Linked DNA regions of Cricetulus griseus. The protein of the gene in region 3 interacts with the protein of the main gene of each other region in a pairwise test. Links are inferred from orthologs where the notes say so. Each region holds a gene or a part of one and is shown on either strand. Other genes may lie near its edges.

What was found.
Region 1: the proteins of Tfg (region 3) and Anxa11 interact in binary tests that used the Homo sapiens proteins (3 or more experiments, as listed by UniProt). The two-hybrid records come from large-scale screens. The link is inferred for Cricetulus griseus from reciprocal best matches to the Homo sapiens genes TFG and ANXA11.
Region 2: the proteins of Tfg (region 3) and Spg21 interact in binary tests that used the Homo sapiens proteins (3 or more experiments, as listed by UniProt). The two-hybrid records come from large-scale screens. The link is inferred for Cricetulus griseus from reciprocal best matches to the Homo sapiens genes TFG and SPG21.
Region 4: the proteins of Tfg (region 3) and protein boule-like interact in binary tests that used the Homo sapiens proteins (3 or more experiments, as listed by UniProt). The two-hybrid records come from large-scale screens. The link is inferred for Cricetulus griseus from reciprocal best matches to the Homo sapiens genes TFG and BOLL.
Region 5: the proteins of Tfg (region 3) and Cstf2 interact in binary tests that used the Homo sapiens proteins (3 or more experiments, as listed by UniProt). The two-hybrid records come from large-scale screens. The link is inferred for Cricetulus griseus from reciprocal best matches to the Homo sapiens genes TFG and CSTF2.
Region 6: the proteins of Tfg (region 3) and Pef1 interact in binary tests that used the Homo sapiens proteins (3 or more experiments, as listed by UniProt). The two-hybrid records come from large-scale screens. The link is inferred for Cricetulus griseus from reciprocal best matches to the Homo sapiens genes TFG and PEF1.

The regions. Positions count from the first base shown.
Region 1 is NW_023276807.1:193,940,628-193,944,127, forward strand, and holds part of Anxa11 (annexin A11), read right to left. Parts: intron 3,205-3,500; coding exon 3,111-3,204; intron 513-3,110; coding exon 417-512; intron 1-416. UniProt on the Homo sapiens protein: Binds specifically to calcyclin in a calcium-dependent manner. Required for midbody formation and completion of the terminal phase of cytokinesis.
Region 2 is NC_048597.1:177,058,224-177,062,416, forward strand, and holds the start of Spg21 (maspardin), read left to right. Parts: upstream 1-1,393; 5' UTR 1,394-1,612; intron 1,613-4,193. UniProt on the Homo sapiens protein: May play a role as a negative regulatory factor in CD4-dependent T-cell activation.
Region 3 is NC_048597.1:35,437,227-35,441,410, reverse strand, and holds the start of Tfg (protein TFG), read right to left. Parts: upstream 2,801-4,184; 5' UTR 2,682-2,800; intron 2,219-2,681; exon of another isoform or gene 1,284-2,218; intron 1-1,283. UniProt on the Homo sapiens protein: Plays a role in the normal dynamic function of the endoplasmic reticulum (ER) and its associated microtubules. Required for secretory cargo traffic from the endoplasmic reticulum to the Golgi apparatus.
Region 4 is NC_048595.1:409,749,596-409,753,095, forward strand, and holds part of protein boule-like, read right to left. Parts: intron 3,240-3,500; coding exon 3,185-3,239; intron 1,249-3,184; coding exon 1,173-1,248; intron 1-1,172. UniProt on the Homo sapiens protein: Probable RNA-binding protein, which may be required during spermatogenesis. May act by binding to the 3'-UTR of mRNAs and regulating their translation.
Region 5 is NC_048604.1:46,068,565-46,072,838, forward strand, and holds the start of Cstf2 (cleavage stimulation factor subunit 2), read right to left. Parts: upstream 2,801-4,274; 5' UTR 2,694-2,800; coding exon 2,636-2,693; intron 756-2,635; coding exon 677-755; intron 242-676; coding exon 72-241; intron 1-71. UniProt on the Homo sapiens protein: One of the multiple factors required for polyadenylation and 3'-end cleavage of mammalian pre-mRNAs. This subunit is directly involved in the binding to pre-mRNAs.
Region 6 is NC_048595.1:22,916,450-22,920,403, forward strand, and holds the start of Pef1 (peflin), read right to left. Parts: upstream 2,801-3,954; 5' UTR 2,388-2,800; coding exon 2,313-2,387; intron 1,999-2,312; coding exon 1,725-1,998; intron 1-1,724. UniProt on the Homo sapiens protein: Calcium-binding protein that acts as an adapter that bridges unrelated proteins or stabilizes weak protein-protein complexes in response to calcium.

The DNA.
Region 1 (3,500 bases), on a different chromosome or scaffold from region 3:
CTGCAGGAAGCTCTGCCCACATTCCCTAGAATGGACACTGTTTTGCTGTTGCAAGTAAAAAAATCTTTCCGTGTGTTTCCATCACAGGCAGCTGACAACCGCCTGCAGGGATGTATTTTTAGAGGAAACTTGGCAGGATGTGAGTCACCTTCCTCCAGGAGAGCAGCTGGACAGGCCCCCACTAATGCCCACACTGTAGCTCCATTCTGCAGAGCTGCACTGCAAACACAAGACCCCTCTGTCCCAGAGGCTGGGGACTCACGGTTTCCCACCAGCCAGATGGTCCAGATTAGCAAACTCAGATTCTGTGGTTCTCTCACTACATCACCTTCAACCGCAGGACACTGAGCACCCAGCCTGCAACCCATACTGCCCCGTGGGTGGGCAGGCAGGCAAGCCAAGCTCCAGACGCCTACCCACAGCCAGCATGCCCTGCTCCAGGTCCCCAGACATCTCCCGGCAGATGCTCTTCTCGATATCTCGGCCAGTCATCCTCTGGTAATCGTTGAAAACTAGCAGGAAAGTAGAAGGGACATGTCACGGTCTGAATCACATTCTCTCAAAATTTCCATGCTGCAGTCCTGACCTCAGCACCTTAGAATACGTATTAAAACAATGCCATGATTGTAGGCCCTGAGCCAAGCTAACCAGTAGCACCCACAACCAAGGTCAGGTTTCTGTGTGGATCCACAAATCCCAGCTTGAGGTGGTTGACTTAGGGTCTTTTTGCCTTTACTTTTCACACACAACCACAGCTCTCTCCAAGTCCCACCAAGTACTCAGCACTATAACTAAAAGGATCTGTGGTAGAGGTCTCCACCCTGCTGTATACCAATGTGTCTTGAGTTTATTTAGGTCACACTGGGCTGGACTACAGTTTTTCACTACATTAGGCATAATACATGCATTTTTGCTTTTTGTGTGTGATGGAGCCAAATCATATAACACTGGCTTCAAGGGATCTCTCTGTCTCAGCATCCTAAGTAGCTAGAATTACAGATGTGTATCACTACCTAGTTTTAAGTGCATTTCTTGGGGGGGGGTGAAGAGGGGCTGTTTCGAGACAGGGTTTCTATGTGTAGCTTTGGAGCCTATCCTGGCACTTGCTCTGTAGACCCGGCTGGCTTCAAACTCACAGAGATCACCTGCCTCTGCCTCCCGAGTGCTGGGGGATTAAAGGCATGCGCCGCCAACACCTGGCTTTAAAGTGTATTTCTTGACTGATACATTTTCACATGGGTTGCACAGTATGTCATCAAACTGAGGAACATCTATGTAGGAAGAGATCACACAGGGACACAGGAACAAGGAGACTCATCCAGAGAGAAGCCTCAGAAGAAACCAATCTTGACAAGCTTTCTCGTGTCCAAAACTAACACATTCCTGTTGCTTAAGCCCAGCCCATAGTACCATCAGGAGAGCAAAGCTGAGGAGACACACTGGACAAGAGTCCCGCCTCCCTTTCACGCTGCCCTGGACAGCCTGAGTGCTCTATGGAAGCTCACAGGAAGCCACAGCCTCTGCTGTCAGCCTTGTGGCCTTCAGTCAGAGGATCCCTGCACCAGGGCAGTCCGTTTGCTTACCCGTCTTGACCCACACTCTGCTCTCCTCCTCAAACCTCCACATTCCCAGCCTGGGCCCCTCTTATTTCATGCAGCAGGCTTACCCTACCCTACCCCACTGTGAACCGTGACCCACTCAGACGCAAGCCACATTGTTCTGCCGTGCTAAAAACCATTCATTATAAACCTAGACACTGATGAGTGCCATGGAACAAGCTGCTGGCTCCTACAAGAAGGAGCAATGCCAGAGCTCACTGATGAGTGCGAGAGTCAGTTTAAAGAACGTGGCCCCTACTCTATCAATGTACATAATAATGTACTGGTGACAGTAAGTGGATTCAGTGGTACAGGAGAGAGAGAGAGAGAGAGAGAGAGAGAGAGAGAGAGAGAGAGAGACAGACAGACAGACAGACAGACAGACAGACAGACAGACAGACAGCACAACATAGTTGGGCATGGTAGCACATGCTTTAATCCCAGTTCTCAGAAAGCAGAGGCAGGCAGGTGTCTATGAGTTTGAGGCCAGCCTGGTCTACATAGACAGTTTCAGGCCAGTCAGGGTTACCTAGAAAGACTCTGTGTCAAAAACAAACAAAAAAGAAACATAAAGTTGGGAATAAAAAGTGGAGCGTGGATAGGGGAGAGGGTGGGAGTCAATTTGATCAAAACATATTATATACATATATGAAATTCTCAAACAATAAAATAGTCAATGAATACATGTTGATGAGTCCGTGTTCCCCCACACTCCACCACAGCAGTCAGGTTAAAAAGCATGCCCTGGGGACAGGGCTCAGGCCCAAAGTCAGACAACCTACACATTGGCCTCATGCCAATCCAGAGCCTGAGGGGATACCTCTCCGCTCCTGTGGGCCTGGGTTAGAGGTGCTGGGGCATGAGAGCTGTCCATCACCTCTGACCCCACCTCCTGCTACGTCACTCTATCTGTTCCAGACACACCTGTCTCCCTCAGGGTTTCAATCGCACACCCTTTTACCAGAGGATGGCCCCAGCCCCTCCCCCAACTCTATTCCTTCACCTTCTAAGCATTTTCAGTCCATTCTTTTTCTCTACATATTTGCTACCAGCTCCGAGCTATACTGAATATTTGTCTTCTGACATGAAGCTGAATCCACGAAGACAGACTACACCTCTCCACCACCCAATAGACAGAAACTCACTTTTATGGGTTCAATAAGCTAAGTAAATGCTACCCAGCAGTGCTGGAATGAAGTTTTCTCCTTTCCTCCTTTCGTTTTATTTTTATTTGTTGTTACTGGAGAGGAAAGGTGCATGCCATGTGTGTAGAAGGCAGAGGACAGCCATGCTTTTGACTGTGGGATCATTGGTTTCCCCACTCTGACATTCCTTATTTCAGTGCATGGCAACCCACCTTTTCCTTTGTCCTACAAGCAAAGTTTTCAGGAAATTTCCCATAGTATCTTTCAATGAAAGTCCATGCAGAGGATATCAGTCAAATATTCTGTAGGCTTTTTCTCCGCCTAACGTCCTGTCTGCCCTCATCTAACTGACCGGGGACTACCTTACCTGCCACCAGGTGGGCCCGACTCCGGGAGCACAGAATCGCATTGAACTTGGACTCATCTGTTCCTAGGCGGTTCTCTCCAGCTGCATACAGCTCCTGGGTGGGGAGGAAGATGCACGTGTATGACAAGCATCATCTGAGTCCTAGGCTCAGATCACCTAGGCCACATCTAGCTCCGTAGAGCCCAGAGAGGAAGGGCTGAACCCTGTTGCTGGCTGCAGACCCGACCACAGCAAGCCATATCCTCTCATCTGTCCGTGTGTGTAGCACAAAGGGTTCTGAGTCCAGAGCCCAGCACCACAGAGGAGGGGAGAGAAGCCTGGACTCAGGTCCCAGCTCAGAAGCAGCTTGCGATGGGATACTAGGCAGAGCTCTGGCTCTTGAGCCTCCAT
Region 2 (4,193 bases), about 140 Mb from region 3:
GTCGGTACCAGGCTGGTGAATCCCTCAGAAACAGCTGGCCTGAACAAGGGGGAGCACATGGACCCCAGATGCTGTCTGGGAGGACAGTACAGGACTGATCCAGACCCCTGAACGTGAATGTTAATGAGGAGGCCTAGGCACTCTATGGGGCCCCTGGTAGTGGATCAGTATTTTTCTCTGGTGTAAGAAGGGACTTTGAGAGCCCATCCCACGTGAAGGGATGCTCTGTCTCGGCCTGGACACATAGGGAAGGGCCTAGATCCCGCCCAGGATGATGTGGTGGACTTTGGGGAGCACTCATGGAGAGCCCTACCCTCCCTGGGGAGTGGAGGGGGGAGGGGGGGCTGGTGGGAGGTTGGGGAGGGAGGGAGAGGGAGAAGGGATTGACATGTGAAGCTATATAAATAAAATTTTTTTAAAAAGATATATTTTTAAGTTCTCCTTAAAACACTAAGATCTTGCTATAAGATTCTTAAAATTTTTCAAACAAGATTTACAGATAATTCAATATGATCATACATTATTTCAGAGCAAAACTACTTACTGAAAGGAGTCATAACATCTGCACCCTCTTTTGTAAGAACAGTGATTAGAGTGAGCCTTACAGAAGAGGACCTGTGTCTGAGGGCAAGCCTAGTGTTGAGTATGTTCCCCTCAACATCAGCACAAAGCCGCAAAAGGAGACAGTTTGGACAGGAGGTCTGAGGAGGATCTCTGTAACTGTACAGAGAAAACTAGTTCTGTTGAGAAAAAGTATGTAGTTAAGAAGAGGGAGGAGATGGGAGCATGAGAGGAAGATAAAGACTAACAGGGTGATGACCAGAATACTTTATGTAGATATGAAAATGTCCTAATGAAGCCGTTATTGTGATTTAATTAACTTATGCTAATTAAAAAAGAATATATAGCCGGGCGGTGGTAGCGCATGCACAAGGCGGGAAGTGCGCAGAGGCAGGACGATCTCTGTGTGTTCAAGGCCAGCCTGGTCTACAAAGCGAGTTCTAGGACAGCCAGGGCTACACAGAGAAACCCTGCTTCGAAAAACCAAAACCAAAAAGTAAACCAAACCAACCAACCAAATACATCAAGCTCTATTCACCAAAGCTAGAACCCAAAGATGTCTCCCCCGAAGCACGAGCCACCCGAAAACTGAAGGCAGAAGCACAGACTTCACTGCCATAGCTTTCTCCTGGTGCTTATGTCAGACAGGTGACCTAGGACGGACCCTGACCCAACGCCAGCACTGGCGCCAGCTTCTGCATTGCTCCAATACATTTGCGCTCGGGCGAGCACAGAAGCTCCCATCCGGGGCTCCACGCCAGCCTCGTTGTCATAGTTACCGCCAGAGCCCCGCCCCTTCCTCGCTGTCCGGCCCCGCCCCTCAGAACCCGGAAGCGGGAGGCGCGCCCCAGGGAGCTACGGGATTCAGACCTGGGAGGCGGCGGCCTCTGGCTGCTCAGCCGCGCGCCCCCTCTACCTGCTGCGCCCGCGGAGCCTCTGCTCTGCAGCCGCCCGGCCCACCCGCGCCCTGCCGCCTGCCTCCGCAGCGCCCGAACCGGGCCGAAGAGCCGTTTGGGCTGGAGAGAAAGGGACGCGGGGGTGGCCACGGCAGGTGAGGGGCAGGCCTTGGAAAGCGGAGTGAGGGTGTGTGGTGCGTGTAGGGTTGTAGGTGGGTGTGTATCGAGCATGCGTGACTAGTGAGTGTCGTCCACGGGTGGGCCGGTCCTTGTGACCATGCACGTGATCCATATCCGTGTGTGTTTGTGTCTGTGTCTAAGGCCCAGCCTCGGTTCATTGCGGATGGTCGGTGTGCCTGTGGGTCCACTATTGTGTGGCTATGGCTATAACTAGTGGGACTCAGGGAGGCCCCAATGGGGGTTGGTGCCCAAAACCTTAACCGGACATCTTCATCTTCTTGTACCACCCAACTTGGGGCTGTGCGGCAGAAGCTCAGAAGCATTTGGTTTCAGTAAACTTTTAAGGACTGCGAGTAGAGGCCAGTTCTGGAGATCCTGCCTTAGACCGGGCATGAGGCTTGTTAGAGAGTCATGAGAAACATTGCAGGGCTAGCGAGTGTCTCGTTTTTCTTTTCCCAGGAAGTTAGTTGTTAGGTGCTGATGCAGTTGCTTTGTCTCTATCTGCAATTGTCCAGCTACTCTTCGTGCAAGGATTCTAAGGATTGGGAAGTCCTCTAATACTGTCTGAATTTTTCAAAAGGCATTTACAACAGGATCTTGAGAAGAGGTGTCAGAAGATGTCATGCAGGCAGCATCTCCTGTCATGGCATTTAGAGACAAGTGGATAGGTTCCTGGAGAAAGAGGGATGAATTTTCCCTGAAGAAATCGCCCCCGAAAGATAGCTATTTAATACATATGGGTGTGCTGGGGGTGGGGTGAAGATCTGCAGTAAATAGCCAACTGTGGTTCTTTGGGTGTAGTTTAGTGGCAGAAGCTCATGCTTAGCATTCCCGAGGCCATAGGTTCAGTTCCTGGTACCGATAATCATAGTTGTGTCACCTAGAGGCTTTCAAGGTCTAATGCTTTTTTTATTGGCTGTAATAATCACAGATTATCCCTATGTAAGTCCACTATAGATTGAGATAAAGGACCAGCCATATGTGACCATGTGAGTTAACATTTGTAAAGCTGATTTCCTCAGCTGTAAAGTGCAGGTTCTGCTGAGACTCCACGTGCATGCTCACATCCAGCAACACAAAGTCCAGAAAGGACCAGGTGTCCTCAGCATCCCGGAGGAGGGGTTTCCTTAATCATGATTAAAGCTTATCTCTGGCCCTTTCCTCACCAGCCTGAACAAGTGCTTTTGTTTTTGTAAAGAACTGAATCATGAGAAATCGCATCTGTGCTGAGCTCACCGCTCACATTCTTTTTTCATCCTGACCAGTTTGGTCACAATCTCAGCTAACTTTCTGGGCCATAGACACAATGTTTCTTTTGTGACTTGGAAAAGCATCCGACCTAAGTGGATGAAAGAGAGCTAGAACAAACTTTCCTTTTCATACTGCTACAGCTGCTTTCCCTTTGCAGCTTTTTTTTTCTTCTTCTTCTTCTTCTTCATAGCCGTCAGCTGGTCACATGCAACATTTGGTAACTGTCTCGCCTTTCATTACTGCCGAACTAGCACAAGTGTTAGGCTCACTTGTCTTTACAAACGTGTACTCACAGCTGGGCAAAATCTCTTACCCATCAAGATTAGTTATAACGTGTCCTGTTGCAATACTGAGGTAGTTGTGAATTATACGGAAGGCTTTTGGTAAGGACTACCTTCTACCCATTGCTATGGGAAAGAAGTGGGTGACTCGGGGTCCTTGTGTGCCTGCCTACGTGTTTGTGCTGTGGTTTGGTTTGTGAATTGCACCTGACTCTAAAACTGTGAATAATTTCTACCGTAAATGGGTTGATTCTAGAAGTAAACTTTAACAAATTGATTGAAGTTTTTGTTTGTGTGTCTGTTTTGAAATGAGGTTTCACCTATCACTGTGTAGCCCTTGCTGGCTTGGAACTCACTATGTACACCTTGAACTCAGAGTTCTGTCTTCCTCCTGAGTGCTGGGATTAAAGGTGTGCGCTATCATCTGGTGGTTTCACATATTTTTGATATTCTCTCCTACAGAAATTGTTCTAGAAAATGTCTTTAGTTGGTGTCCTAGTGTAAAGTATTTCAGAATTAACTGCTAGTTGCTTTCATTTAAAAAAAGTAGTAGCTTAAGGGAGACAGAAGAGGTAAATTGACTATATTACATTTTGCATGAAACTATTCAAATAATAAGAATCTCTAAAAGTTGTTAAAGTTATGATATAAAAATAGTTTAAACATCTTAGATACTAAACTTGTTAATATTTAAGATAAATGGATTTTGCAAAGGATTGTGTTCTTTGTTTTAGTGTTAATGACTGAATCTGTGCACGATGGTTTCAATATAAGATTGATGGTAATTTACTTTGTGTTTTAAAACAATTTACAGTTTTAGCGGGGGCGGGGGGGCTCTGCTCTCTGTGAGTTAGAGGCCAGCCTGGTCTACAGAGTGAGTTCTCAGTTGGGGATACACAGTGAAATCCTTTCTCAAAAAAAAAAAAATTACAATTTTAACAACCCTCTCAAAATATTTCCTTTGCTTTGAGATAAGAGACCACTATCCTATCAGCATTGTAATTAGAGTTTTAATATTGGTCTG
Region 3 (4,184 bases):
TTACTCAGTATGTCTTACATCTTTATAATCTTAAATTCTAAACACCAAGTCCTTTAACAATCCAAACTACCACCATAAAGTGCATATTTAGGATCAAATAATGGATTAACATCTTTTTCTCAAGGCCAAGTAATTCCTGAACATGCTTATCTATTGGCACAGAATGTTCGTCCCATCAGCCCTTTCATCTGTTCCAAGTAAATGACCACTGAGAGCCATTTAAGCTGTCCTAAAGCTCCCACTGGCCATTTTGCTTTCAATCTTGAACTTTCAGTACTGGCAGCTTTCTCTTTCCTTCTCTAAATCTTACTGAATTGCCACCATTGAACTTCTCTTGCAGTCATTCTGCTGTGCCTTTTAATTGGAAAAGTCCTCACCCACCAAATCACCAAACTATTCAACTTGGGAAGCTTTTAATCAATCCTAACTTATGTCATGATTATTAACTATAAATCTCCCAATACTCCTCACATAAATACTTCAGTTTTTCCCTCCAACTGTCCCTTAAATGAATATACCCCTTCACCATCCTGTGAGATTACATTTTTACTAGTAACTCTTTAATGAAATGGGGCAGTAAACCCAAAGACAACACTACAAGGTCAAGGTAGAACAAAGCGAACTATGTTCCACAGTTTGGATGCCAGGCTTATCTTAATACAAAGAGCACAGTTTTTATCAGTCTCACAATGGACTTCTCATAAGGACTGTGATGACCTGAAACCTCTATAGAACCAACTCTTCACTTGTTGTCCTCTGCCTTTAAGAAATATTTACAGAACACCTACTATAGTCCAGGTTCTAAAGTACAGTAACTCTAACAGGATTGTAAATAACCCATGCTTTCACTGACAGCTCTAAAGGAAAGATCTTTCAATAAACCTGTATGTATTGCCTTCTATCTATAGGCCATACAAACCAGCAATATATTGAATAAGGACCAGTGCTTAGTTTTAGTAAAACACTATTATATATTCCCTAAAGCACCTAAAACAGTACCTGACATACAAAAGCCACTTGAGGAGCTTTAAGTCCTACACAAAGGCCCAATGAGCAAAGGCACTTGGAGAAGAAAGCTGGAACATATGTCAATTCCAGATGGTTTGGCCACCTTCTTTATGTGGTCAAGGGGGCCACCTCATATCAAGATATACTCCCAGGCAAGACAAAGTCCCAGCACAAATACACTTGGTAATATGCCCTCTGATGGGCATTGAACTCCAACGGATCTAAAAACTAACATTACATATCCTTAACATCTGCTGTTCATGACCCCAACTCACTTCTGGTGTTTCCTATTGACCGTGAGTTCCCTGCAGTCTTTGCAAAAAGCTGTCCCCCACTGGTGTAGTGATCTCAAGTACACACACAAGCTTCAGTTATTTCCTGTACCACGAGAAAAACCTCATCCACACAGGTGTCAACTCCAGTCCAGTTTTTCTCTAACAAGGTAGAGATTAACATGAATTAGTTCCTAGAACTGCTCGTGAGATCCCTACGACATTTTCTGACCTATCTTGTTGCTGTCTTACTACTTCTGAAGTCCAGAAGTAACTCAACCAGGAATGTGCCCTCCATCCGGTAAATTTTCTGATTCCTGGGATAAACTGATGTGCCCAAAGACATAAAGCCTGGCCCCTGCACTAGGAAGTACATTCACCAGTCAAGCCTCAGACTCCTCTTGCTCGCCCAAAACTCACAAGCTTCTATTACACACACCCTCTAAGCAGTTTCCTTAAAAATAAAAAGAAAACGTGATTATTCTAAAACTGCCAAGAGGCCTCAAAATCTGTGTGGCATGCCTGCAGCAAGAATGGTAACCATTTTCACCCGTAGCTATGTGACGTTCTTCAAAGTGTATTTTCTTCACATGAAAAAGGAGTGTAATGGCTAAATCTGCATACTTTGAGATCATTCTTCCTACAGAGCCCAGCGACAAAACTTAACAGAAGTTCCGAATTGTCATCAGTAAAACTGGGCAAGGCCTCAAGGGGACACTAGGCATGACAGTGTAGAACCGACTGGGGCTCCTTTTTGTGTGTGTGTGTGACCCTAATCTATTTATTCCCCTGGGGTCCACGCCCCGCCATCCAAAACAATCTAGAGGTTAGGCAGCAAACACCCCGGCCTCCTCAAGCCCCATCTCTCTTCCTTGAATGATTCACTCGACTCTCTCCACTTGCCAAGCCGTTCTGGAGGGTGAGGCACCAAACGCCCCCGGCCTCCTCAATCCCCTATCTCTAATCCTGTAATTCAAACCCCTTGGGGGTCCCGAGGGACCAGGAACGGGGTATCAGGGGGCCCAAACTCCCGCCAGGCCGGACCGGGCCGGGCGCCCTCCCCTCCCCCTCCCGGCTGCCCCTCCTCCGCCCCCGGGGCCGCTCGCCGGCCTCCCCGGGCCCGCACCCTTCCCACGGTCCCGGCCCCACCCGCCCGGGCCGGGAGGTTCCAGAAGGCCTCCGGCGCTCTCGGGTTCCCCGGCCTCCTCAGAGAGCGGCCGCACGCGGGGCTCCGGCGGCCGTACCGCTTGCCGAGGCGCTGCGTCCGCCGACCCCCCGCGCGTGGCCGCCGCGGGCTCCGCAGTGTCGCAGGGGAGCTTCGGACCCCGCTCGCTCGGCCGCCCGCCCTCCGCCGAGCCTCGCCGAGCAGGGAGGCGCGCAGGCCCGGCCAATCGCACACACCCGACAAGCCTAGCGAGAGCCGCGGTCCCGTACGTGGCAGGTGGGAAGAGCAGGGGCGGGAGCGGAGGGGGGGAAAAAAAAATAGCCACCCCTGGCCTCTCGCCCCGCCTCTGAGCGAACGGGCCAGCCCAGCGCGCATGCGCCGTGTGGGGCGGGCGCGGCGCCGGACGGGCCTTAAAAGACCCGGCTGCGTCGGGTGAGCGGCCCCGCCTCCTCACTGGACGGACGACCGGGTGTAGGAAGTGCGAGCCGAGGCGGGCACGCATGCGCGGGGAGTCAGCAGCACTTCCGGCTTCTCTGACAGTAGGCGTTGCCTCCCCCTCCCCCCGGTGGGCGGGGCGCAGTCCGCAGGGCTGGGCTCGTCCTCCGAGCCTGGTTGGAAATCGGCATCTGTCTAGAAACGGTTTGGCTCTTGTTGTTGATTTGTGGCCGTCGTGGTCGGCGAAGTCAGTCACACCTCGAGGAAACGAGCCCCTTTCCCGCCCGGTTTCTACAAATCCATTCATTCGTTCATTCATTCACGAGTGGGCGCCTACGCTTTGCCAGAAGGAGTGCTAGGGCTGGCGATGAGTCAGTCCGCCAGCTAGGAGGTACCCTGGGAAGGCCACAGCGTTCAGAGGGCACAGCTACGGGTGAAAGGGACAAAGAGTGGAAGTTAAACCCAAGGATTCAACAGGGTCTGGGGGGAACATACCCGACAAGCGCTGACGTTCATTTTTGCCTAACGTGTTTGCTTTGGATGGACCAGCCTCAAACTGATTGATCCCTGCCTGGAGTTTGTAGAGTGTAAACAGCATACCGTGACTATAAGAATATAATTTGAGTAATACTTTTTAATCTAGATGAAACACAAAGATCTCATGACCAGAATAAACTGGAAAGAAGTGGGCTGTAAATTTAATAGCTGGCCCGGAAAGGATTTTAGCTCTCTGCTTTAGCACTGCTGCATTTGTGTTTTAAGGACAATATACTCATACATTACTTAACTGGGGGTAATATTTTGTTAAGAATAATTTCAGCCCACCTTTACACAGTCACCGACTTTAGTGGTGGTAGGAGATTCGGAGTTTGCCTTGTCTTGCTTATTCCTTTACAGCCTCTTGCACTCTTATCTCAAATCATGTAACTTGTAACTGAGATCCAAACTCATAGTCTAGAAGAACACCTCCCTTCTCTGTTGCTGCCTAGTGAGTACTTGGGGGGTCATCTTTGTTTATTATCACCAAGGTCTAGAAAGTCTCAATTATTATGTTACAGTTTCATGGTAACTCATATCAAAGTCCAACAAATTGTAAAGATCCTACTTCCACCTGTAGCAAAGCTCCACTATGTAGACTGGAACTATACCATAGGTCTCTGAGAATATCTTGTAAGAAACAGCAGCATTGGATCATGCCACCCTGCTCTGCCACACACACACACACACACACACACACACACACACACACACACACACACACTCCCCGTCTCCATCTAAGAGCTGGTATGCAGAAACATGTTCAA
Region 4 (3,500 bases), on a different chromosome or scaffold from region 3:
GAACTAACACGGAGGCCAACAACAGGTCAATGTACAGAGAGTGACATACTTTGGAAACACTTTTGGAACATCTCAAATGAGATGTCATCATCAACTCTCTGTCCCCTGCCATCAGGGCTCAGGGAGCTATGAAGAAGAGGTGAACAATTCAAAGAGTCAAGTGGGATGAATTGACACCTAGGACACAGTGCTAGACACAACAGGAATGACCCACATATAAGTTCACAGAGACAGTGCTATGCATAGGGCCTGCGCAGGTTCAAGCCAGATGGGGTCCCAGCATTGAGGTGAGGAAGTGGACATGAGCTCCCTTCTCTAGCCAAGAAGCTATCTGCAGTTGACAACTGCTTATAAAGGAAAACTCCAATCGAGTTCACTGGGTATATAAACCACACTAAAGAGCAGGTCCATGCCCAGTAGTAGATAGCTAACACAAAATGAATCCAACAGTATTTTTGTAGATTTCTTTTGGCCTCATATTGCTCCATTTGGGCATTTAAAAAAATCTTACTCATCTTTTTTTTTTAACTTGTATATTATGGTTTTGGAGTCTGTTTTAATGGATTTTTTTGTTTCTTGGGCTTTTTCACTTCTTTTTATTTACCTGTTTGTTTTCTAAAGAGAAAGAAATAAGGGTAGTATTGGGTTGGTGGGGAGGATCTGGGGGAGGGTAAACCATGATCAGAATGTACTGTGTGAATTTTCAATAAAAAGATGAAACACAGTACTTTTTGTGCTAATTAAAAAGTTATTTTTCAAAAAAAAGTTATTTTTCCTGCCAGGCGTTGGTGGTGCATGCCTTTAACCCAGCACTCGGGAGGCAGAGGCAGGCAGATCTCTGTGAGTTCGAGGCCAGCCTGGTCTCCAGAGCGAGTGCCAGGATAGGCTCCAAAGCTACACAGAGAAACCCTGTCTCGAAAAACCAAAAAAATTATTTATTTTTCCTTTAAACTGTAGTTATACAGAATATACTTAATATTGTTCATGTATATTTCCCCTATACCTCAAACTGATATATTTTAATTTGTTAAAAATAATTATATGACTACCAACTTTGCTAAGAACTATTACATAAAAAACAGGATATTTTAATAAAAGCTGTACAATAGTCTAATATTTCATAAAAGGACCATGCAAAATATTAAAAAAATACATTAGCTCTCAATACATACGAGGAATCCCTACTTGTTGTTTTCTTATTGCTGGACCAATGTTCAGTTTCTTATCCTTATAATTAAGTTTTTCGGCCTAAAATAAAGGAAAAAGCCCATCACCATGATTTGTAAAATCATTTGACACCATGATTTGTAAACTCTGATACCATGATTTATAAGATTAGTGAAGAAAAACCAGCATGAAACTAGCAGACATTGTTCGACAGTTTTTTCTTCTTCTTCTTTTTTTTTTTTTAAATTCAAGGTCTCATGAATCCCAGGCTGTGCTAAAATCTGATATATTATCAGACAATTTTGAACTTCTAATCCTTTTACCTCTACCTCTCAAGTGCTGCGATTACAGGCATGTGCCTCATTGCTTAGTTTATGTAGTATTGGGAATAAGTATGCTACCTGCTGAGTTATATCCCCAGTCTCAAAAGGTGGTCTGGATTCAAGTAACTGTCTTTATCTTGGTTCTACTGCTATGAATCTAGATGATGTTGTAATCATCATCATTAGTTACTGATTATGTATTTGCAACTCAGGTATTCTCTAAAATTTATTTGCAATTTCAACCACTATCTGTAGTAATTTCATGGTCATTTGCAGACATGTACAGAAAATTTGAATAGTCCAACACAAAAGATTTTTTTTTGTTCTAGCTATCCTATTATAACCAAATGTCCTTTTTAGATATGTTTTTCACAGTATGTGCTATTTTTTAAAAATTAAAATGCCTCACAGGTGCTGCAAAACTAGCTAATGTTCCTAACCACAAGAAGCTTGTCATATATTTTATGGAGAAAATGGATTGTCATGCTTAATTCAGGTATTATAGTCCTACTGGCCATGAATCCAATGTCAGTGACTAACAACTGTTATGTTGTTTATTATGGCTTGAATATGAAGTGTCCACCCCTTCCCAAAATAGTTCATGTGTGGAATGCTTTGTCTCAGCTAATAGATCCACTCATAGGAGGTGATCAGATGATAAGGGATTGAATTTAACAGAATACTGCTAGGTTAATCATCTTAGAGCATTATTGGGAGCTGATGGAACTTTTAAGGGTAAGGTTTAGTTGGAGGCAGCAAGTCATGGTACGCATATTCTTGAGAATTATACTCATCATAGATCTCTTCCTCAGTCTCTGCTTCCTGGCCATTCATTATCATAACGTCCTAACTTGCCTAAGGCCCACAGCAACAGAACCAGCTAGCTATGAGCTGAGACCTGTGAGAGCATGAGCTGAAATAATCTTTCCATCTTTTAAACAGTCTCTTTCAGATCTTTGTGACAAGCAATAAAAAGTTTTGCTAACACAATTTCTTTAAATAGCAACACATGAAACTAAGTTATCTGCTGATTTACTGGTGGCAATATTCTTACTAGAGGTTTTTTTGAATCTTAGCTTGTATTTCAATTAGGAACACCAGAAGTTCAGTACTCACTAATTCAGTTTTATGTTAACTTTACAGAATAAAAACTATTATGGATAAGAACTGACTGTGTATGATCTTAATAATACATAATTAAACTACCTTTTAAAAAAAGGTTATATATTATACTTGCCATAAGTTAAAAGATATCAAAATGAACTACAGGCTACAGACATTTTACTAAACAATGTTACTGGTTTATGTAGTTTTTCATAGGAAGGAAATAATATCAGATAGGCTTATTCTAGTAATTCTTTGTAATGTTTCTATGGAATTACCAAAAAAAAAACCATTTATACAGAGATACATTCTTAAATCACTAGTTTAAGCAAACAAAATACTTAGAACTTAACAATCATCCTGATGTCATGACTTGGAATGTATTGGTCTTTAGACTGTTTCTTAGAGGCCAATGGCAATCTTAAGATACATTCAAACACAAATATGTATATATACATACATACGTACATATGTATGTACGTATGTATGTATGTAGATCACTGGCTTGTACTCTACTATTTTACTATCATAACATTAATTTCAAAGAAAGAAATTCCAAAACAGAAGTTAAATACACTGAAAGATCTTACCTCTTGTAAGATTTTTTGAGCATCTTCTTGAGTTTCAAAAGTGATGAAACCATACCTAAATAAATGCATTAATTATTAGCACTTTCTTAGAATGGTACATTAAATCTTATTTTCCAGTTCTGCATATTGAACCTAGGGTCAGCAAGTCTTTTTTTTTAAACCACTGAACTATATGTCTAAGCCTATAGTAACATTTTTACTTTTTAAGTATCGCCACTGTAGGTATGTTGCATTGGCATGGGAACCACAGATTAATACTGTCATCCCAGTGACAGGGACTGAGAGAATAAAGAACTCAGGAATCTTCAATTTTAGC
Region 5 (4,274 bases), on a different chromosome or scaffold from region 3:
CAAATGAACAACTTGGATCATCTTCTCATCTTCATTAACTTGTAATATATATGGCTTGCATTTATACTCACTTTTCAGTTCTTCTTTGTTCTTTTCACTGGCAGCATTATCCACTCGAAGTGCTCGTCCACTGAATTCACGCCCATTCAAGTTCCGCATGGCACTAAGTGCTGTTTCTTGGTCTTGGTATTCACAGAAGCCATAACCTTTTGGTTTTCCTGTCTCCCTATCATATACCAATCTGAAGAGCAAAACCAAGTATCAGAAACAAATGCTACACACACACACACACACACACACACACACACACACAGGCTTCTTGCTAACATTGGCATGTTCTAATTTAGACCACAGTAAGATACCCTTCTAAGCCAGGCATGGTGGTGCATGCCTTTAATCCCAATGCTCAGGAGGCAGAGGCAGGCAGATTTCTGTGGTTCAAGGTCAGTCTGGCTATACACTGAGTTTCAGGACAGCCAAGCCTGTTACACAGAGGAACCCTGTCTCCAAATCCCCCCAAAAAGACACTCTTCTATTTCTGCTTTTATGTTTTTGAAACATTTTTAATGAAAGAAATTTTCCAAGTAAGACTGGATATGAATTATAAAGCATGTACATTTATCTCAAAATCTGTGGTTTTTAAAGAATCTCCCATGAAGATCTTAAAAGTTCTCACCTGAAACTAACAACAGGCCCAACCTCAGAGAAGATGTCCTTCAGTTGTTCTTCAGTAGCTTCATACGGAATGTTTCCCACTAAGGAACAGATAATACATTAAAATGCTGGTGCAGTAATGGAGCTCTTCAGTAAGCAAGTAAACAGTAGGCTTTCTATTTTTATCAATAAATAGGTAACAAGTTGACTGAACAGTGTTCTCCAAAACGCTTCCACTGTACCTTTTCAGACCCCACAACAGACCCAGAGGCAAAATAAAAAAAGAAGTCTTTCAAACAGTTCTCATATGGATATGACAAATAGGATGTTTTCCCTTACTTTGATGAAAATATATGTTTAAGCACTGGTATTTACTCATAACCCTGTGTTTGACCAGTGACTACTAAAAACATAAAGAGGGTGGGTTCATGTCTGTATTTCCATGTATACACATGCTTATGGAGGGAATAGCCAGGAATATAGTGGAGGGGGGTTAAAAATCATTCTCAACTGTTTTGTCATGTTTCTTTCAAACAGTGCTTCTTGTTCTTTTTGTTTTAAGTCTTATTATATAGTGTGGCCGGCCTTGTTATGTAACCTAGGCTGGCGTTGAATTTGAGGCAATTGTACTGCCCCAAAACGTGCTTTTAAACGTGCACTCAGGAGGCAGAAAAAAAAAAAACCAAAAACAAAGAAAAAAAAACCACCCCCCCCCAAAAGTGCACGCCTTTAACCCCAGCACTTGGGAGGCAGAAAAAACCAACAACAAAAAAAGCGCATGCCTTTAATCCCAGCACTTAGGCAGAAAAAAAGCAACCAACAAAACAAAACCACCACCCCTCCCCCCAAAAGCTTAAGTTTTGTTTTTGTTTTTTTGTTTTTGTTTTTTTTGGTTTTTGGAGACAGGGTTTCTAGGGCTTTAGAGGCTGTCCTGGAACTAGCTCTTGTAGACCGAACTGGTCTCAAACTCAGAGATCCTCCTACCTCTGCCTCCCGTGTGCTGGGATTAAAGACATGTGCCACCAACGCCCGGCAAAAGCACACGTTTTTATTTTTTGGTTTTTCGAGACAGTGTTTCTCTGTGGCTTTTGGAGGCTGTCCTGGAGCTAGCTCTTGTAGACCAGGCTGGTCTCGAACTCACAGAGATCCGCCTGCCTCTGCCTCCCTATTGCTAGGATTAAAGGCGTGCGCCACCAACGCCCTACTAAAAGCGCACGTTTTTAATCCCAGCCCTTGGGAGCCAGAAAAAAAACCAACCCCTGCCCCCAAGGAAAAAAAAAAACAGCAATACACGTGGCACACGCCTTTAATGCCAGCACTCTGGAAGCAGGGACAGGAGGATCTCTGTGAGCTCGAGACCAACCTGGTCTCCAGAGTGAGTTCCAGGACAGCCTCCAAAGCCACACAGAGAAACCCTGTCTCGAAAAAAAAAAAATTAACTCATTTAATTCCTAAGAACTGTTTAGTTTCGCTTCTCTAGAATCTCCCTGAGCTTTCATCAATCAATCATTCATTCATTCATTCGCAACCCACCTCAAGGTGCCCAGGTGGCCGCTACCACTATGGTTGGATGAAACGTTACAAGTAAAAAGCAAGCGATATTAGGCGTTTATGAGAGGGCAGGAAGTGGATATAGGGTCGATGGCTTCAAAATTAAATCTGTATTTTGGGCTAGGAGAAGCAGCACGGAACAGGGGCGCTCTGTTTCCACGCACCTTTTCTCCTAAAAAATAACTGAGAATCATGAAGGGGAAAACAGAGACGACAAACGCTAGGGTCTAGCTCCCTGAACCACACTGCGGAAAACCTCCAATACCTTGGAGCCCAAGTTGGGGGGGGGGGCTCTGTTTGCCCACGAGTACACCAGGCTGCCGCGTCAAAGGACAGCGGGGAAATCGCACGCCCGCCCCGACACCCGCTCCAGCTGGGGACCGCAGGGGACATCCCTCCCTGACTGGAGGCGCCACTAAATTCCTCTCACCGAACACAGAACGCAGAGAACGATCCACCGCAGGGTCTCTAACAGGCAAACCCGCCATGGCTACCCCTGAGGTGGCTTCCGGTGCGCCTAAAACACACTTCCGTGGCAGAGTGAGGCCAGGGCCGAGCGCGCCTCCGTCCGGTGGGAGCCGGAAGCACCTGGACAGAGCCGCCACGGATCTCGTTCCGCGCGTCACGTTGTGGGTTCCCGCCTAGGGTTTTGTTCGGGGGTGGGGCAACAGTCTGCGGGAAGACCTACGGCCCGAGAAAAGGGGCGTGGGTTGCCCGCAGGGGGCCGAGCTATGCTAATTTGAAGTCTCTGCGTTTGCGGTCCTCCTCCTCCGTCATTTTCACTGGTGCACATCCAAACGTTTGTAAGCAGCGCTACAGATGGCTGCCGCAGATTTACCCTGGCAACAGGGAAGTCATTTGCTAACAGCTCTGGCACTGTCATCTTCGTTCTGTCCTACTAGAAATGTGGGGGCCGTCCCCAGTAGCATACATCCTATTACTTTGTTGACGCTTCCCTGTACTGAGGGAGAGCTGAGAGAGGCTGGGGAATGAGAGGACTCTCAAAGTCTAGTACCAGCACTAGTAAGAAAGCCTAGGGGCAGTGTGGCACTGGACATGAGCAGGGGAAGTTTTGGAAGCCATGGAAAATGCCCTTGGCTGTGGTTGTGCACACCTCCTGGGTTAGTACCAGAACAGTTAGCCTGCCACTGGAGTTGGAGGAAATGCAGGGTGGGTTATCCTGAGGGAAATCAGATTAAAAGAACAAGGAAAGGAGTTAATAGCCCTGCCGTCCGAGAAAACCTACCTGGCAAAGTAAGTCCAATGTAGTAAAATAGGCACAGACTTGGAGGCATGGGTTTAAAAATGCCAATTCCATGAGCTGGGTATGTGGCCCATCGGTAGAGTGCTTACAAACCATGCATTAAATCCCCAGAAAAACATACATCCTGTATCAGAAGAGTCTGTGCTTTAAAAATGAGGAATAGAACACACAACACGCACACACACAGAGGAACATGTCTCGAGTAACTCTGGTAAAGAGGAAAGTTGGCAAGTATCACCGATTGAATTTCCAATCACTATGTGACCTATAGGATCTTTTATATAATAGAATTGTTTGGAGCTTGATATTTACAGCTCTGTAAAAGGCACAGATTGACAATTTTGGTGCATCACAGTTCAATGTAGTGAATTTTCACTAAATGAATGTATGGCTAAGTAGATTTCTCACCTAACGTTTCAAAATTCATACAGACAAAAGATTTAGTTGGGGTACTTAACTAAAAATAGGGGTTCTTGGACCTCTACTCCAATCTACATATAGGGTGAGATTTTACACAAGGAATGAGAGAATTATTTTTTCTATGAGTGCCTCTGGTGGTTCTCTGGCCATGCAATTTGGGAAACGTAGTTAATGAAGTAGTTTTGTGACAACATTTGGTGCAGCCATACATTCTTTTTTTATCTGTGATTTTTCTTAAGTAATAGCGGGGCAGCTCTTCTAGTAGGCCTAGAAAATTTTGCTCAGCTTTACCCCTTGTGAGTGAGGAGGCTTGGAAACGGAGTGGAGTGGTTTTGGTTGCTGGATGACTAGCGAAACAGTATGACTGCAAGAAGATGCAGAAACA
Region 6 (3,954 bases), on a different chromosome or scaffold from region 3:
AAGAAACACCCAGGATGCATTTACAGCATCTCTGCTGGATGGACAGCAAGGGCTGATGGCAAATGCGGCAGCCAGAGGCCCTCTTTCTGCAAACAGAGGAGCACCGCCAATGGTCAGCTCTGTCACCCACAGTTGTATACTAGTACTCAAACCCAGGAGGTGGACCTTCCCAGGACTCTAAGGCAAGTGCATAGATCAGGATGTATGCAGTACCACTCCCAGGTGTTGCTAGCCACCCTAGAGAGGAAACAATGCAGTCAAATGAGAGGGAGGCTGAGCACATAAGGTGAGCCCCTCCTCTCCTCCCCTGCTCTACACACTACAGCCACTTTCAGGCCCTCAGAGTCAGGGGCTCCTTTCCCTGCAGACTTCCTATGAGCTCAGACACAAGGTTTTGGAGGGTACAGAAATCCATTTGCAGAGCCTCTAAGTTGGAAGCCAACAGCCAGACGCTTGGGCTCTGAGAAGATAAATGCCACTGGCTGGCTGGGCGCAGAACCCCAGAGGTTTGGGCATCTCCCCCAGGACCACCTGCCTGGGTACATTCAGATGCTGTTTGCTTCCTAAGCACAGCACTCCCTGGAGGCCCTTCTCATAAGCCAAAGCAGTTCCTGGCTGCCTAGCTGGTGCTGGGCCCCTGAGAACAGCAGTGCTGTGAAGGAGCTGACTAAAGGGAACCCGGGAAAAGCAAGGACTGGCACCCACTTTCCCCAGCCCTCTGCTAAGAGACCCCAGCTAAAGCTCTTCAATCTCAACCCTCCTTGTCTTGTCTAATACCTTCCCTCCAGCCTGCGGCTCTCTTTCCCCTTCTCTTTCATCCTCTTATTTGCCATAGCTACCATCACATTTCACACCAATATTCTCCTGTACTGTTACAAGTCTCTCACAGAGTGCTGTCCATTAAGTTCAGATGCTATGCCTAGCATTAAGCTGCAGCTTCACATTTAGTCCTTACTAATCAGCCTGTGAGGCACTGTCCCTATTTCACAGAGCTGGACACTGAGGCTTACAGAGGCAGTTTGGGCAGGCCAGGGTCTGATTGGAGAAGCTTTCACTGGTGACATATTTTCTTTCCACAGATGTGGCCAGTCACCCTCCTACAGGAACGGAGTTTCTTCTCCCATGGACTACATTGCTGTCTCCAATTATCTTCGGATCCCCCTTCCTGATCCAAGCATTGTACACCCTCTCCCACCGCCTGGTAGCTCAAAGATACCCTATGAGAGGAGCACCATCTCCAGCCGGGGTTCAGCTTGACAACGGGATGTGCTTCGGCCAAAAGAACATGAGTAGATGAGACATCAGTCCTTCTGAGTGGACCCTGCAGAGCTACCGCCCAGCCCGGCTAGCTTCTTACTCTTTCCCTCTACCCTAAGGACAACATGCCCCAAAGGGGATGCTCCTTCAGCACTAGTCCCAGAATGAAAGATACATGGAGCAGAAACTCAGCTGGCAACCCACAGTTGCTGACACATGAGCGAGAGTAAGCAAACAGTAGAAATAAATGCTTGTTGTAAGCCAAGAGGACTTTGGGAATGTTGGCCCAGTAAAGCTAACTGATGGACTTCTCATTCGGCCAGTATAGGCAAAGCAGGAAGCGAAGGGCTATGGTGCCAGAGACTGGGGCACACGCACATCTTCAGGAAGGACAAGGAGGGGACATGGATAGCTTAGACCAGGTCAGAGGTTCTACACTGGGTCCCAGAGCTGAAGGTTCTACTTACCCTGTCCATAAGGTCCAGGCTGTTGGGCACCATAGGAACTTGGAGGTGGCTGACCGTAGGGGCCTCCTGGAGGTACACCACCATATGGTCCGCTGGGAGTTCCAGAGGGGAGTCCCCCAGCACTGGGGTATCCATAGGGCCCTCCGGGGGCAGGACCTCCGTAACCACCGCCAGGGGGAAGTCCACTGCCATACTGGCCCCCACCATGGGGAGGTCCAGGGTAGTAGCCACCTGGGGGTGCTCCAGGTGCCTGTCCTGCAGCTCCCGGGAAAGTCTGCAGGAAAAACAGGCATGAGCAGGGTGAGGAAAGAAGCCACAGCATAGCACTTTACAGCTACAAAGCACCTGCACTGCCCACAGGTGAGGTTGGACTTACATTTCTGCTCAGGTGGCCTTGAGGCTTCTAGGGAAGCTACTTGTTACCCAAGGTCATACAGAGTCCAGACTGGCATCTTATCCTCCTGACTTCTCTTTCCTGTACATCAAGGGCCCTACAAGGCCTGGGATCATGTTTGACTTGTGGCTTTATCCCTAGCTCCAGGGGACAATGGATGCTCAGTAAATATATGAACAAAGTGGAATGCTCACCCTTTGGGATCTTGACCTCCACCTGCAGAATTCACAGCACAAGTACAGTCTTTGATACAAAGCTCCGCCCCTCATCAGCCGCCAGTGATGTAGTCACAGCATGGACCCTCCACAGCAGCTCAAGATGCACGAATAGTCCCTAACTTCATGACTCTAAGGTAGACAGGGAGCCTATCCCCAGGGCAGTAGGGACAAAACCCAAATACCACCGTTCAGGTTTGTCAGCCTCTAACTCATGCCAATAATGTACTAGGGAAGGAAGACGAAGCAACTTCCTCCTGGAGTAGTCTGACCAAGAGCCAGCCCACATATGAATCCTCCACTCCTTGCCCTCTGCCTTTTGCCTAACCCTGGAAATAGGTTGTGTATTTGTTGGAGAAAAGCCCTGCATGGAAGTAACAGAATCCTATAGAGTCTTTATAGGAGGGAATGAAAAGAGTTTTGTTCTCAAAAACAAAAAGCTAATTGCCACTCTTCTGAGGTTTGCAAAGGGAAGTTGAAATTATTCTGAGATCTAGAAGGATGAAAACAAACAAACAAACAAACAAACGAGTTTAATCCCAGCACTTGAGAGGCAGAGGCAGGTGAATCTCTGTGAGTTCAAGGCCAGCCTGGTCTACAGATCGAGTTCCAGGACAGCCAGGGCTATACAGAGAAACCCTGTCTTGAAAAACAACAACAAATCAGGGTCTTGTCTAGTAAGTCTATCCAGTAAGTTGGACAACTCTGGTTCTGTCCTGGTAAATAAGAGTCACTGTTGGTTTGGGATTAAAACAAAAGTTTTAGGTATATTGGGAAGAAACAACCATTGTAAAATAGCTGAAAAGGGAGTGAATCCTGCTGCAAGGGAAAGAGGAGTGTTCAAGATAAACAGAGAGCATAAATCTAAGCTGTCCTCCTTCCAGGCTCAAGCCACTCATTGGAACTGTAAAGCAAAAGGAATTAAGGAGATGAGTCCAAGATCTGTAAGGGAGGCAAAAAGATGGGAAAGCCACTTTGAGAATTCTCAAGGGAGGCCAAAGCAAACTGATATTGCCCAAGAGCTAATGAAAAGAATTTAATATTATCTTTTTGGGAACAGACCATTGTAATCAACAAGGGAAGGATGATGGACAATATACCAGACATGTATACCAGACATGGAACACCTAGCTGAACTCTGCTGGGACAAGCTGCAAATGAAGAGAGACTTGTATTGAAGTGTGTAAATCCTTTAAAACAGACATATACTTTAGTATAAGAGGCTAATTGGATATCATCCATATACTGAAATATGTAATAAGTATCTGAAGACTTTTATCTAATAGAGTGTATTGCCTTTTTAGCGGTAGTACTATACTATATACCCACCACTGGCAGCTGGAGAAGTACTTGCCATTGGAAGGGAGATATAGGTGTTTGCTTATTGACAGGAGGCACTGAGAAAGCAATTCTTGATGACCAGGGCATAATGGAATAGAAAAAAAAAAAAAAAAAGCAATTATTTTAAATCAGTAACTATAAACATAGGAGAGGTGGAACTCCAGGCTGGATGGCTCCAAGAGATGAAAAGGAGCATTAATAACATGGAGATCACATAAAAGCCTCCATTTAACAGATTTTGGGGAAGATAGAAGATAGATAACAGCACTGAACAATGGGT